3 linked regions of the Drosophila melanogaster genome follow. The protein of the gene in region 3 interacts with the protein of the main gene of each other region in a pairwise test. Each region holds a gene or a part of one and is shown on either strand. Other genes may lie near its edges.

Region 1 (3,372 bases), on a different chromosome or scaffold from region 3:
ATTCAATTTGTTTTAAATTAATAGAAAGCACTGTTCATACATCTACCTTAGGTCACGCCTTCGTTCATGCATTTTCCACAATTGATTTCCTGATATTATCTATATACATTTTTAAACCAAAAAAGACAATAAATTATAATTTGGAAAAGCAAACCGGTACATTTTCAGACCAATAATAACGGTATGGAATTGTCAAAAATGTGTACGTTTTGCTTAATGTGAATTGTTTTTCCATTCCGAAAGTTTATTTTGCCTTCTAATACTCACTTCCGTTTCCGCTGCACAAGACCAAAGTGTGTTTCCGCTACCCTATTACCACTCCATTCGCCATTTGAAACTTTTTTCGTACTCATCGAACGAATTATAACAAAACCAATTTTCCATGACAAAAAGACAACAGGAAAAAACCAAATTACAAATCAGACAATTAAATACTCATACTCAATACTCGCAAAATGTTTGACATTTATTAATTAAAAATAGGATAAACTGTATATTAATTTTATTCAAATTGTCATCGGCAATAAAAGACAGCTTATTTCAATTTATTTCTTTGTTCCATTTCGATTTGTCATCTACATATTGTATGCAATACAGTGGCATAGATTAAAACAATACAAACATTACAAGAAACTGCATTTAGTACTCAAGAATGGTTACATGGTAGTGTATAGAGTAGTAGTATTTGGTTAGGGTTAATAAGGCTAATGTTTCAAAATGTGTTTTTAACTAAATCTATTAGTACCGCAAGCCCGTGTGTAATAACTCTTTTATGTTTCCTTTCGCCGATCAAAGAAATACATTTCTTCAAAAGCGTTGCAGCAAGAATAAGTAAAATTACCAGTTCCACAAAAATAGCCAATCTGAGCTGCAAATGACTTATATGTTGTATCGGCATAAAAATGTTTTTAACAAAGTCACTGCAACCTTGGGTGATAAGGTCGGGATGGTAGCAGTGGGTTGGAACCCCTTGTAGATAATCCATATAAGAACGGGGACCCTCCAGTCCACAGCATAAAACCTGTGAAAAGCAAAACCCTTGAAAGGGCAAATGAGCAAAGGCATAACACATACCGCATTTTCAATCGAAGGCCAATCTGTCTCGTTAAAATTGGAGTATGCCAGCCATTTAAGGTTTAAGCTATCCATGAATGTACTATAGCTCCTGTTCATGGCTTCTAGTTGTTTTGAAATTGTGAAGTAAGTCCAATGAAGGACGAGTATCTGCAGCGGTATAAGCTAATTTACAATTATCAACCTCACGTTTTTTTTTTGGTAAAGTCCTTACCCCGAGAACAAGCCAATCATCACGCAAATTGGCTAAGTATAGGCTGACCAAATTCAGGCAAATGGTAATGGAAACGGTACTTGTTAGAAAATTAAAACAGTTAAGCACATTAATGGTTATTTCAGCGCTTTTAAGTCGCAGAGTAAAGGGTATAATTACTCGAAATAACACAGCCAATACAAGCTAAGTGTAGAAAAGTTGTCAGTAAAAACTTGAAGACGGGCTGCTGATTAAATACTTACCCCAAATAAAATAGCAGTTAGCTTTTTTATCATGCCCTCTACCATTTTGAGAATTATTTTAATATACGTAGCTCAATTTTATTCTACGCAAATTGACAAAATATTCGAAGCTGGAAATAATGGCCTACCACATAAATTCAAATTTTTGTTTTCCCAATTATGTATGTATACGAAATCACGCAGGTTTTTCTATTTGTGTTTCAATTCCTTTTTTCTGGCAAAATTTCATTGTTGATTTATGGGATTTGCTATTTTTGACAGTTGTTTTTGCTACAACGAATGAGAGTGTGTGCGATAACTGTTTGTAGGTATAAACATGATTTTATAATCGGCTTTCTATATTAATTTTAATTTTATTTTCGGCATTTTATTATAATTACTCTTGATATATGTAAATGGTCATCGTTAGCAAAATTATCATTCCGTATATGGCTGTATTGTTGCTGCACTTGATGTCCACATGGATGTCCCTCAACTCGTTAGGAAATTTACTACGCACTTTTTGTTGTGGGTTTTCAGTTCGCCAATGGGCCATGCGAAAAAATATTTCTGTGGCTTTAAATATTTTAATTGTCGCTGTTGGCTCTGTTCTGTTATTTCATAATCGTATGCTCTTTGTTGTAAGTCAAAAAGGGTGTAGTTCGAAATGCACAATAAAAATTGTAATATTTTGGCAAAATATTTATAATTATTAATGCTAATTTCAACAAATCCAATGCATTTCTGGCATTCTATTTGGACGATGGCTAAATACTTTGGTGTTTTGTATCTGTTTGTGATATTTTAATTTTACTGTCGCATTTGATCATAAATTAAGCGATTAACAAATAAGGGGCACCGTGGGTTATGGGTGCTCTTTTGAATTCCCTCGATGTGGCAATGGATGGAAGGGGCCAGTAAAACTATATTGCTTTTGATAAATGCCGATGGTTAGGACTCAGAGTGCGCCGCATTGAGCGGTTTAGTACTTAGTACTCAAGTGATATTAGAATTCCTGGTAGATTAAAAAAAATAACAAAATAATTGAAATATGAAAATGTGTCAGAAATGTTTCATTTAATCATATCCAATCGCGTTTGCCATTCAAATAAATCTCAAAATATATAAAAACAAATTTTTTACATTACAGTGAAGTTTTTGATAAGCCATGTTCGATACAACTAAATACTTTCCGCGTTCAGTTGATTCCGAGCATCCGTCCCAGTCGGAGCACAATGAGTCCTTGTCACTGGATCATGTCGTCACCTACGATATGGTCCATAACCCGGAGGGAAGATCACCTGATCACAGTGTCATCGAAATGACATCGGAAGCTGACCGGCATATAGGACACGATGTCACTTCATCTCCCCAATTGATGATTATATTTGAAGAAGGCGACATCAACAGTGCACTGCACTTTATTATTGAGTCGGTTCATAATCCCTTTGCCTCGAATGCGGTGGCCATGGTTCTGGTTGAAGAGAAAATTCGCGGGGAGATCGTCGAGCGAATCCTGTCTAAGCTACATCCTCTTAGTAAGTTTGTGGCCGAACATCCTAGCTATCTGGCAGCACTGGAGAAATGCCACACCTCCAACTTTAACATAATAAGGGCCTGCATTTCGGAGGTTGCCCCACCAATGGCTTCACCCATTTTTGTGTGTGACTGTACGCACGATAAGCTGGGAAGTTACCCAACTGGAGTAGTAACATTTCACACATTCCGCAATAACCAGGAGGCCATTGCCATAAGTCAGTGCGAATCGTTGGCCTTCGCATCCGTCTCCATTTGGAACGAAACGCTAACTGGATGCTACGATCTCGTGGCGGCCCTCAGCTCGTCCTATTTTTTTCTAAACTG
Region 2 (3,842 bases), on a different chromosome or scaffold from region 3:
AGGGACACCGTTACTATCTCTCCCTAATGCGTGGTGATCTGCAGGTACGACAGGGCGATGCCGTCTATGTCCTACGAGACATCCCCATCAAGGATGAGTCCGGCAAGGTGTTACCGACGAAGAAGCACACCTATGAAACGATCGGAGCCATTGATTACCAAGAGTGCGATATCTTTCGGGTGGAGCACTTGTGGAAAAACGAACTGGGAAAGCGTTTTATATTCGGACACCATTTCCTGCGTCCTCATGAAACTTTCCACGAACCATCGCGTCGTTTCTACCCCAATGAGGTGGTACGAGTTTCACTTTATGAGGTGGTACCCATTGAGTTGGTCATTGGACGCTGCTGGGTGTTGGATCGAACAACTTTCTGTAAAGGACGCCCCATGGAATGCAACGATGAGGATCATTGCTACATCTGCGAGCTGCGTGTGGACAAGACGGCAAGGTTCTTCTCAAAGGCCAAGGCCAACCATCCAGCCTGCACCAAGAGCTATGCCTTCAGAAAATTTCCCGAGAAGATTAAGATCTCCAAGAGCTATGCGGTAAGTTTAATATTTTAAATAATAATAACGCCAGTTAACTAATGAGCATTAATGTGTAGCCCCATGATGTGGATCCGTCGTTGCTGAAGACAAGGAAGCAAAAGACTGAATTAGACGTAGGAGCCGGGCCAACAACGATGCACAAGGTGTCTGGCAGGCAGGAACAGCATCAGGCCAAGATGGTTGGGCGAAAGCCTCGTGGGATCAGTGCCCCAGCGGATGCAACTGCTGTCCATGTCGTAACACCCGTGGCGCCCAATAAACAGGTGTGCAGAGTTTTGAACAAGTTTTGAAATCAATCTATTACAATTAACTTTGTTTTCAATCTCCCTAAAGATGCTTAAGAAGAGGAAATCGCGTTTAGAGAACGTTTTGATAACTATGAAGCTTAAGTGTCTGGATGCACAAACGGCACAGGAGCAACCCATTGACTTGTCATACCTGCTGTCCGGACGCGGCGCCCGGCAGCGGAAGACCCAGCAGTCCAGTAGCAGTTCTACGGCCAACTCAACATAACCGATGTAACGCGAGTAGATTAAGCCGTGTATATACGCCTAAAGTTAGAGGCATTGATTAATATTTATGGAACTTCAATTAACAATTAGCATTTAGCCATGTAAGATGTAACGGTGATAGTAGTAATCCTAAAGTGTACATTGTTATGAACAAACTTCGTGAAAGGACTCCGGTCCCGGCTAGGATGGAACAGATTATGAATTATGGTTAATATAAGGATTTATTTAAATACTAGTGCTTACGCCACCGCACCAAGCCCCCAATTTAGATGAATTTCTTTTGTTTTTAATTGTTTATATTGGCTCTCCATATTAATTTTGTTTTACAAAACTATCCCCCTCTCGTCTTTGCAATTGAAGGCGTTTGACTTTTGCATTGTTATTTTAAATTATTGTATTATGTTATGGCTGCTTAATTATGTAACACCCGAGTAGGACAACTTATTGCGCTATTAGTTTTTAGTTATTTTCCAATTGTTATTAACTGCTAACAAAAATTTTAAAAGTGAAATAAAAAATATATTTTTATTAATCAAAGCCGAATTTTAAATGAACCGCCTGTTTAACACAAGTGTTGGATTGCCTAACTGTCGCGTTATTCAACACTGCTTGCATGGGCGTAGTGAAGTTTCTGATTCGGGGGACTTCGAATTTAAGATTATGAATCACTTTGTTCTTGTATCGCAAAAATTCATTTGCTTAGAGTTTTTCTGCATTTTTTTTTGGGATTAAAATAATAATCCCCCCTTAAATGTGTTTGCTTACGCCCATGACTATGCAAACAGATGTTCAGTGAAGTTGAATTGGATTGAATTGAATCGGCCATGCTGTGTAATATATTTAAACGCTCGCTTCAAGCGAATATAAGGAATGTGAATAACTTAAATGTGCTGCGGTTGAGCAGTTCCAGTGGTCCCCGAGGAGAGATCCAGGACGCACTGGACATAGAGGCCAATCTATTCGGGAATTCAGATTTAAGGCATGAGCCGATGAACACGAGGGAAGCTTTACGCAAGAATCGATTTGCCGGTAGAAAACCAAAGGTGCCATTTGCCTCAGTTGCATCTCGCAACCTCTCAGCTCCATCTAATCCTGCACCACGAGTGGCTCCAACTCCCGCTCCAGTAATTAAGGACAATGAGCTGAATCTGGAGTTTGTGCGTCTCACTCTGCAGGATCCACTTACCAGCACCCTACTAACCACAGTGCGCTCCCGCAAGCGCCGTGATAAGAACCGGCAGATCATCGTCGAAGGCCGTCGTCTCATCCAGGAAGCCCTGCAATGTGGTCTCAAAATGGAAGTACTCCTCTTCTCCCAGAAAGATCAGTTGGCTCTGGTCAAGGAGGAAGTAGGCGTGGCACAGGTGGAGACGGGTACCAAGATTTACAAAGTGCCGCAGCACGACCTAAAGACGTGGTCATCGCTGGTAACTCCTCCCGGTCTGATGGCTATCTTCGACAGGCCGTCGGACAAAGGCTTGGAGAAAAACCTGGCGGAGCAACAGCGTCTGGGCTCTCAGCCCTTTCCCATTACAGTTGTGTGCGACAACATCAGGGAGCCCAACAATCTGGGCAGCATTATAAGGACCTGCGCCGCGCTGCCCTGCAGTCAGGTGGTGGTCACCCACGGCTGCTGTGATCCCTGGGAATCGAAGGCCCTGAGAGGAGGCTGTGGCGGTCAGTTTAGAGTTCCAATTCGGGATGATGTAACTTGGGATGAGCTCGCGCTAACCATTCCGCCAGAGGCGGCCGACGACTGTCATGTTTTCATTGCCGAGACCAACCAAAGGAAGCGGGAGAACAACCAGACCATTGACTATGCAGATATCAAGGGTCTTGGAGCCCATAACTTGCTCATTATTGGCGGAGAGAGTCACGGAGTCAGTGAGGAAGCTTACCGGTAAGGGGGGAAACGAATAAGTTATAAAATGGAATGCTAATTATGTTTTTATATTGTCAGTTTCTTAAACTTGGTTGGAGGTAAGGGAAAGTGCATCTACATCCCGCTGGCAGCTGGCATCGATAGCTTGAATGTGGCATCTGCTCTGACGCTGTTGCTTTTTGAACTGCGCCGAAAACTCATTCATCAGGCATCAGAAAAAGAATAAGTTTGGAATAGCAACCGATATAATTAAATGTATTTTCTTTAATTGTTAATTTCTATGACAAAGTGTATAAATCGCAGTTAAATCCCATCAATAAACTTGAGTATATTTGTTATGATCCTTTCGAAAATACAATTTTCATCTTGTGTCAGGCATAATATAAATTTATTGCTAGGCTGTTTCACAAATATAGTAATTAATAATTACATTTAATTCAACTATTAGCTTCGATTTCCTTGTAAACCTCGCGCTTATACTCGTCCAGACCACCTTCGATCGCTCTGACTGTGCGATTGCCACACACCCAGAGTTCCTTGCAGACGACCTTAATGAGGCGTTCGTCGTGGGAAACCAGGATTACGCCGCCCTAAGAAAGACAGTACACATGTATTTCATGGTGTAAATTTCCACTAAAGTCCACTTTACCTTAAAGGCATTTATGGCTCGGCCCAAAGCATCAATGGTTTCAATGTCCAAGTGATTAGTCGGCTCATCGAGCACCAGGAAATTTGGCTCCGCTATAAAATAAATATATTATGTTGATGTTAATGTTATTGAAAGAAGATGGATAGTCACTATCTTACCCATGCACATCTTTGCTAAGGCCACTCGTGATTTTTGTCCTCCAGATAAACTGGCAATGCTCTGCAGTGCCAGTGGTCCGGATATGCCGAAGC
Region 3 (4,761 bases):
CGATTTGTTTTACAATCTCGATTCATTTTGTTTGACTCCATATCCTGTACCGTCTGTCTTCTATAGTTCAAAATCTTTTCACTTCTTACTGCTTAGTCCCTCAACTAGTCTTTGCTCACCATCCGCATTTCTATAGCGAGTCAGTAGTTATGACACTGCCATTTCTTCAGAGCTCTTTCCAGCATTTCCGTGCATGAACCATACATTCTGTATATATTAATATTAAATAGCAGAAATAGAGCCTTTAAGTTAAAGCATATCGAAGCAATCAAAAAAAAGAAAACATAAATAATTTTAAAAATATATCTCGATGTAAGTTTTTGTATATGCAAGTATTTTTTAAATAAAATTTAAAATCAATATATGTTTAATTTTTCTTAGGCGATAATGGTAAGTAATACATTAAGATATAAAAATTCCATCAATCCATTAAAAGATTTAACTAACACCCATTTCATGCTCAAAAACAACTTTGGTTACAACACAACACATGTATTTTTCTTAATATTTGTTTATTTACTACACAATTACAAGTTAATAGGAACTCTTTGGTTTCACGCTAGAAAGTCAGTTGTTTAGCAAAAGTCATTTCATCATCGTTGTGGTCGATATCAGCAGCCAAGATCGCCAAGACTTGAGCATCGTGTTGAGCATCACATTGACCCAAATCCACACCTGAGTCACAGGCCATAAAAGCACACACCGCCACACACACCGCACATCGCACAAGAGGCGCCTCTTATCGCTTCACTCGAGCGCATTCAGAAACGGGGCTATGGAGGCTATATCCTCGCAGTCCGGGATGGCTTTGCCCTTGAACTTGAGGCAGGAAAGGGCACAGGTCTGCCCCTGGAAGTAATCTCCCAGCATGGTCTTGCACTGGACGCAGTTGTTAAGGCACACCTGGATAAAAAATTAAAAATATGTAAAACAATTTTGTTAATATAATTTGTGGAACTTTTAAGGATATTAATATTTAAATCTCAGGATCAAATGAATGCATATGGAAAGTACATTTTCACATCATTTTAATAATGACCCAATATGATTTAAGTTAAATATTTATTTATATTAAAATCACTAAAACTTAAATTTCTAACCCACCTGAACAAAATCAATGCCACCCATGGAGTCTGCAAGAAAACATTAAGCAGAAATAGTAGTTTAGTACAAGAGCATACAGAAAGTAGGGAAATTTATATAGCTTACCAAATCTCTTGTGCGTATAATGACTTATGGCGGGCAATGCATTTCCAAAATGCACCAGGCACATTGCAACTGCCACAAAGGTGCACAAAATCAAGGGCTTGCAGTTCATGATGGTGATATTGGTACTTTGATTCCAACGGATGTGTTTGGGGAGCTGACTAGCTTGCGACCGTTGTCTGTCTAGAGCAGATTGGAAATAATTATTATCGCTCGTTTGTCTTCTTATTTTATATACATATGCTCTCGGCCCAAACGCAGATGCGAAAGCTTAACAGAGTAAAGAAGCCCGATACGGCAGCAAAAAAATAAAAAAAAAGCAACTATTGAAGCCGGTCGCAGATGCGAGACAAGTCGACACGACAAGCCAGCCCCAGTGGCGCTAAAATACGTCAGGTCTTCGAGCCAATCGAAATCGATTCGAGCCCAATCAAATACCCATTTTATTTTGTAAGCGTATGCAAAGTAGCGGGCGATACGCAAACTTACACACATTTGAAATGTGTTCTCCTTAGAAAAGAGTTTGTTTAATTTGCATAATTATCTGAACAGATTTTATGACACTTTTAAATGGGCGGGATGAATAAATGAGTTGTAGGAATTTATTTAATATAATAAATGGAATATCCAATGTGGACTTATACACGACAAAAAACTTTTTTGCTTTAATTACCAATTTTTTTTTTAGTTTTTTTTTTGAAAAGAGTGGTTATCGAAGAAATTGATGATTTCAAAATTAGTCTGTAAAGCACCCAACCCATAATGGCAAATCCCCAAGAAACATTACTTTACAAAAATTTCCCCGATTTTCAAGAGCACATTTAAAAATTCACCGGACTTGGGAAAGAAAGTAGCAACGGCGAAAAGCTCTTTTTGAAAAACTGCTATAGTATCAGGAAGTGTCAAGCGAACGGACACAGCCGAATCGAACTGAAATCGTAATGAATGCAAATCGTATGCGACTGGCGAGCCCATTAATTAATGGCGCTGTAAATGCAGTAAAAATATGGTTAAAATGTAAAGCGTAGAACGGATCCAAGACCAGATGCCGCCGCAACAATACGTTTCGCCCCAGTAAAATGTAAATAAAATAAGAATTCTTTTGTCCTGCCTCCAACCGGACACGCTGCCAACTGGTTTCGATATAAATATATTCCAGCGAATCTCACAAATTAAAATATGAAAAATGAACAAACAAAAAAGTCAACCAAATCGTGGGAAATTCTGTAGTTATGTTAATTTTATGCGCCACAAATTGTATGTTTCCTAACTAATTGGCAACACGCGCCAACGTATGAGTAATGTGTAAAGACCATGCGGCGTATACGTCACATAAGCAGCGATTTGTGGGCGTGACACTTTCGAGACAGGCTTAAGATTTTTCGGTCCAGTGACGTAGGAACGGTACTCAAAACTTACCGGTAGTTGATTGTTTGGCAGCAAAGGTGTGGGCTTTTTGGATAACTCGCCAAGTACTTGGCAACACGTTTGTTTGCTGGAAACTGGTTCTAGAATGCAGAGTTCTTGTTGTATTTATACGCTGGATCTCGTGCGATTGTTTGATTTGCACAGGCAAATTAATCAATTTATCTCGCCAGCAAGTCCACCTAATTGAATATGTGCAAAATGGCAAAATGTCACTTCCGCTGGCTGGCTGGCTGGCTGGCTTTCTTGAGTGCTTTTCACAGCGGTGTTCTGAGTACTCGATGTTACTTAGCCAGTTTAATTGCGTTTCTTTGAGCTCTGGTTTCGGCCTGGTCAGCAGGTTGTAGCCCAAAACAGGAAATGATACTGCCGAAAGGAGTAGTTTTTCCAACAGTACGCCTTGTTGGGTTAGATTTATTTCTCAGTTGCAAGTATTAGCAAAAAACTAATAAATAAGCTTTAACTAGCATAGTCAATAAATCAGGAAATCACGAATGGGTGGAAAACCGAACTGTGTATGTAAGTGGCTATTTTTTTTTTGTTTATGCTTTTGGGTTATATCAAATATTTATTTTAAAGACGTAGGAAGCATAGAACTTAATTACAATGAGCATAGATGTATAAGCACTAAAATAATTTAACATATGGCGTAATTATAAATTGAGTTAAGTTTTTTTATTTTATTTTTATTAATTTATAAAAACAAATCCTATTTACATGTATGTACATACGTTTTAACAGAAATCAAAATATTTTTTCAGACCGTTACTTGAAAGCAGTGCATATCGACCTCAAGCAGTTCGTCTTTCATTTTACCGCTAGGTGTCGTCTTTAATATAGATGTAGATAAATGTGTAAAATGTGTTCTCCGTAAGCCATCAGCAGGTGGCCACACATGCTGAAAATGTCAAATCGCAAATCTAGATTAAAATATAACGCAGCTGAGAAGAGTGAAGCAAATAATGTATTCTTTAAAAATTATAAATTTTAAATAGATTATTTGAGTCTAAAATTTAGTTTTTTTTGTGCTACATATATTTCCAAAGCTAGAGAGGAATGTTACTGTTTTTTAATGTTTATCCCCTTGCGAAATATGTACATCTCGATTTAACGTTTTGAACTTGAAAGATAATGGGAGTGTTTCAGTCGCTCCACGCATCCTCTCCCCAATTCACTAGTTTTATGATGACACTAAAATTGTTGGCTCGAGGAGAACCTGATCAATGAGATGTTTATTGGTCCATTTATTGACTCCCTTGGAGGCAATCAATTTGGTTCAATATAAATCTCATTATTAAAGTGCAGGGCGGATTGAACTCTTCTTTTTGTGTTGTGCCCCACTGGACGTACGTTGAAATTGCTGAAAAGCCACAACAGCAAACATTTCAACCGATGGCCAGGAAGCGAGAGTGTGTTGGTGGGCGTGGCACACCACCGAACGCGCCGTCGAAGAGCAAAAACTTTTATTAGTTGCAGCATTTCCCCTCCCCAGTTGCCCCCTTTCCCACATAACAGCAGAGCAAGTAAATCAGTAAACGATTTTCTTTATAGCGCTGCATTTTCGAAAGCAATTTCTCCACTCTTTTTCCGGCGACGGCAAGAAACTTTTATTTTAAACCAAGCCAAAAGTCGAGATTTTCGGACGCTTTATTTATGAACTCTGCCCGAAGAGTCGATGCGCCTCACATATCCCTTTCATACATTGCAATCGCATCCTTTGTGCCTCGGTAGATATTTCAGGCACGTAAGCATTAAATTTTTTAGCCACACAATATGCTCATTGTGCCACTGATTTTAGCTCCAAGATATACGACTATATATGTTGCCAGCTTCTGCCGGGCATGACAAAAGAGCAATGAAGCCTATTTTGTAGCTGCAAACTTTGCCAGGTCGAACAAAAAACTTTATTTAAATATATACCTACAGTGGGACTGGAAATAATGGCAATGATGGATCTGGTGCATTTCGCTAAAACAATATTATATGAAAAGAGCTTACAGCTGTATTACTGTTATCTCTGTTTCTTAAATATAAAATAACTTCATTTAAAGTTATAGATTTCTATTGTAAGTAATGAAGCTGTGTAGCTCGTTATGCTCGCTCAATCTGTTCAGTCCTCAGTGCCGCATG

The links.
Region 1: the proteins of Eh (region 3) and CG31600 interact in a two-hybrid assay, tested with the Drosophila melanogaster proteins (one large-scale study listed by BioGRID).
Region 2: the proteins of Eh (region 3) and CG14100 interact in a two-hybrid assay, tested with the Drosophila melanogaster proteins (one large-scale study listed by BioGRID).

The regions. Positions count from the first base shown.
Region 1 is NT_033779.5:21,913,728-21,917,099, forward strand, and holds CG31600 (uncharacterized protein), read right to left. Parts: upstream 1,632-3,372; 5' UTR 1,576-1,631; coding exon 1,531-1,575; intron 1,472-1,530; coding exon 1,289-1,471; intron 1,240-1,288; coding exon 1,075-1,239; intron 1,022-1,074; coding exon 713-1,021; 3' UTR 542-712; downstream 1-541. Other genes in the region: CG11634 (uncharacterized protein), read left to right, coding at 2,678-3,372.
Region 2 is NT_037436.4:19,588,521-19,592,362, reverse strand, and holds CG14100 (uncharacterized protein), read left to right. Parts: upstream 1-1,838; 5' UTR 1,839-1,884; coding exon 1,885-2,960; intron 2,961-3,020; coding exon 3,021-3,168; 3' UTR 3,169-3,291; downstream 3,292-3,842. Other genes in the region: ash1 (absent, small, or homeotic discs 1), read left to right, coding at 1-545, 605-811, 882-1,061; CG9330 (uncharacterized protein), read right to left, coding at 3,380-3,532, 3,592-3,683, 3,750-3,842.
Region 3 is NT_033777.3:17,446,142-17,450,902, forward strand, and holds Eh (eclosion hormone), read right to left. Parts: upstream 2,718-4,761; 5' UTR 2,626-2,717; intron 1,390-2,625; 5' UTR 1,319-1,389; coding exon 1,210-1,318; intron 1,134-1,209; coding exon 1,105-1,133; intron 904-1,104; coding exon 748-903; 3' UTR 501-747; downstream 1-500. UniProt on the Drosophila melanogaster protein: Neuropeptide that triggers the performance of ecdysis behaviors at the end of a molt. It triggers adult behavior patterns: larval, pupal and adult ecdysis, and plasticization during the molt.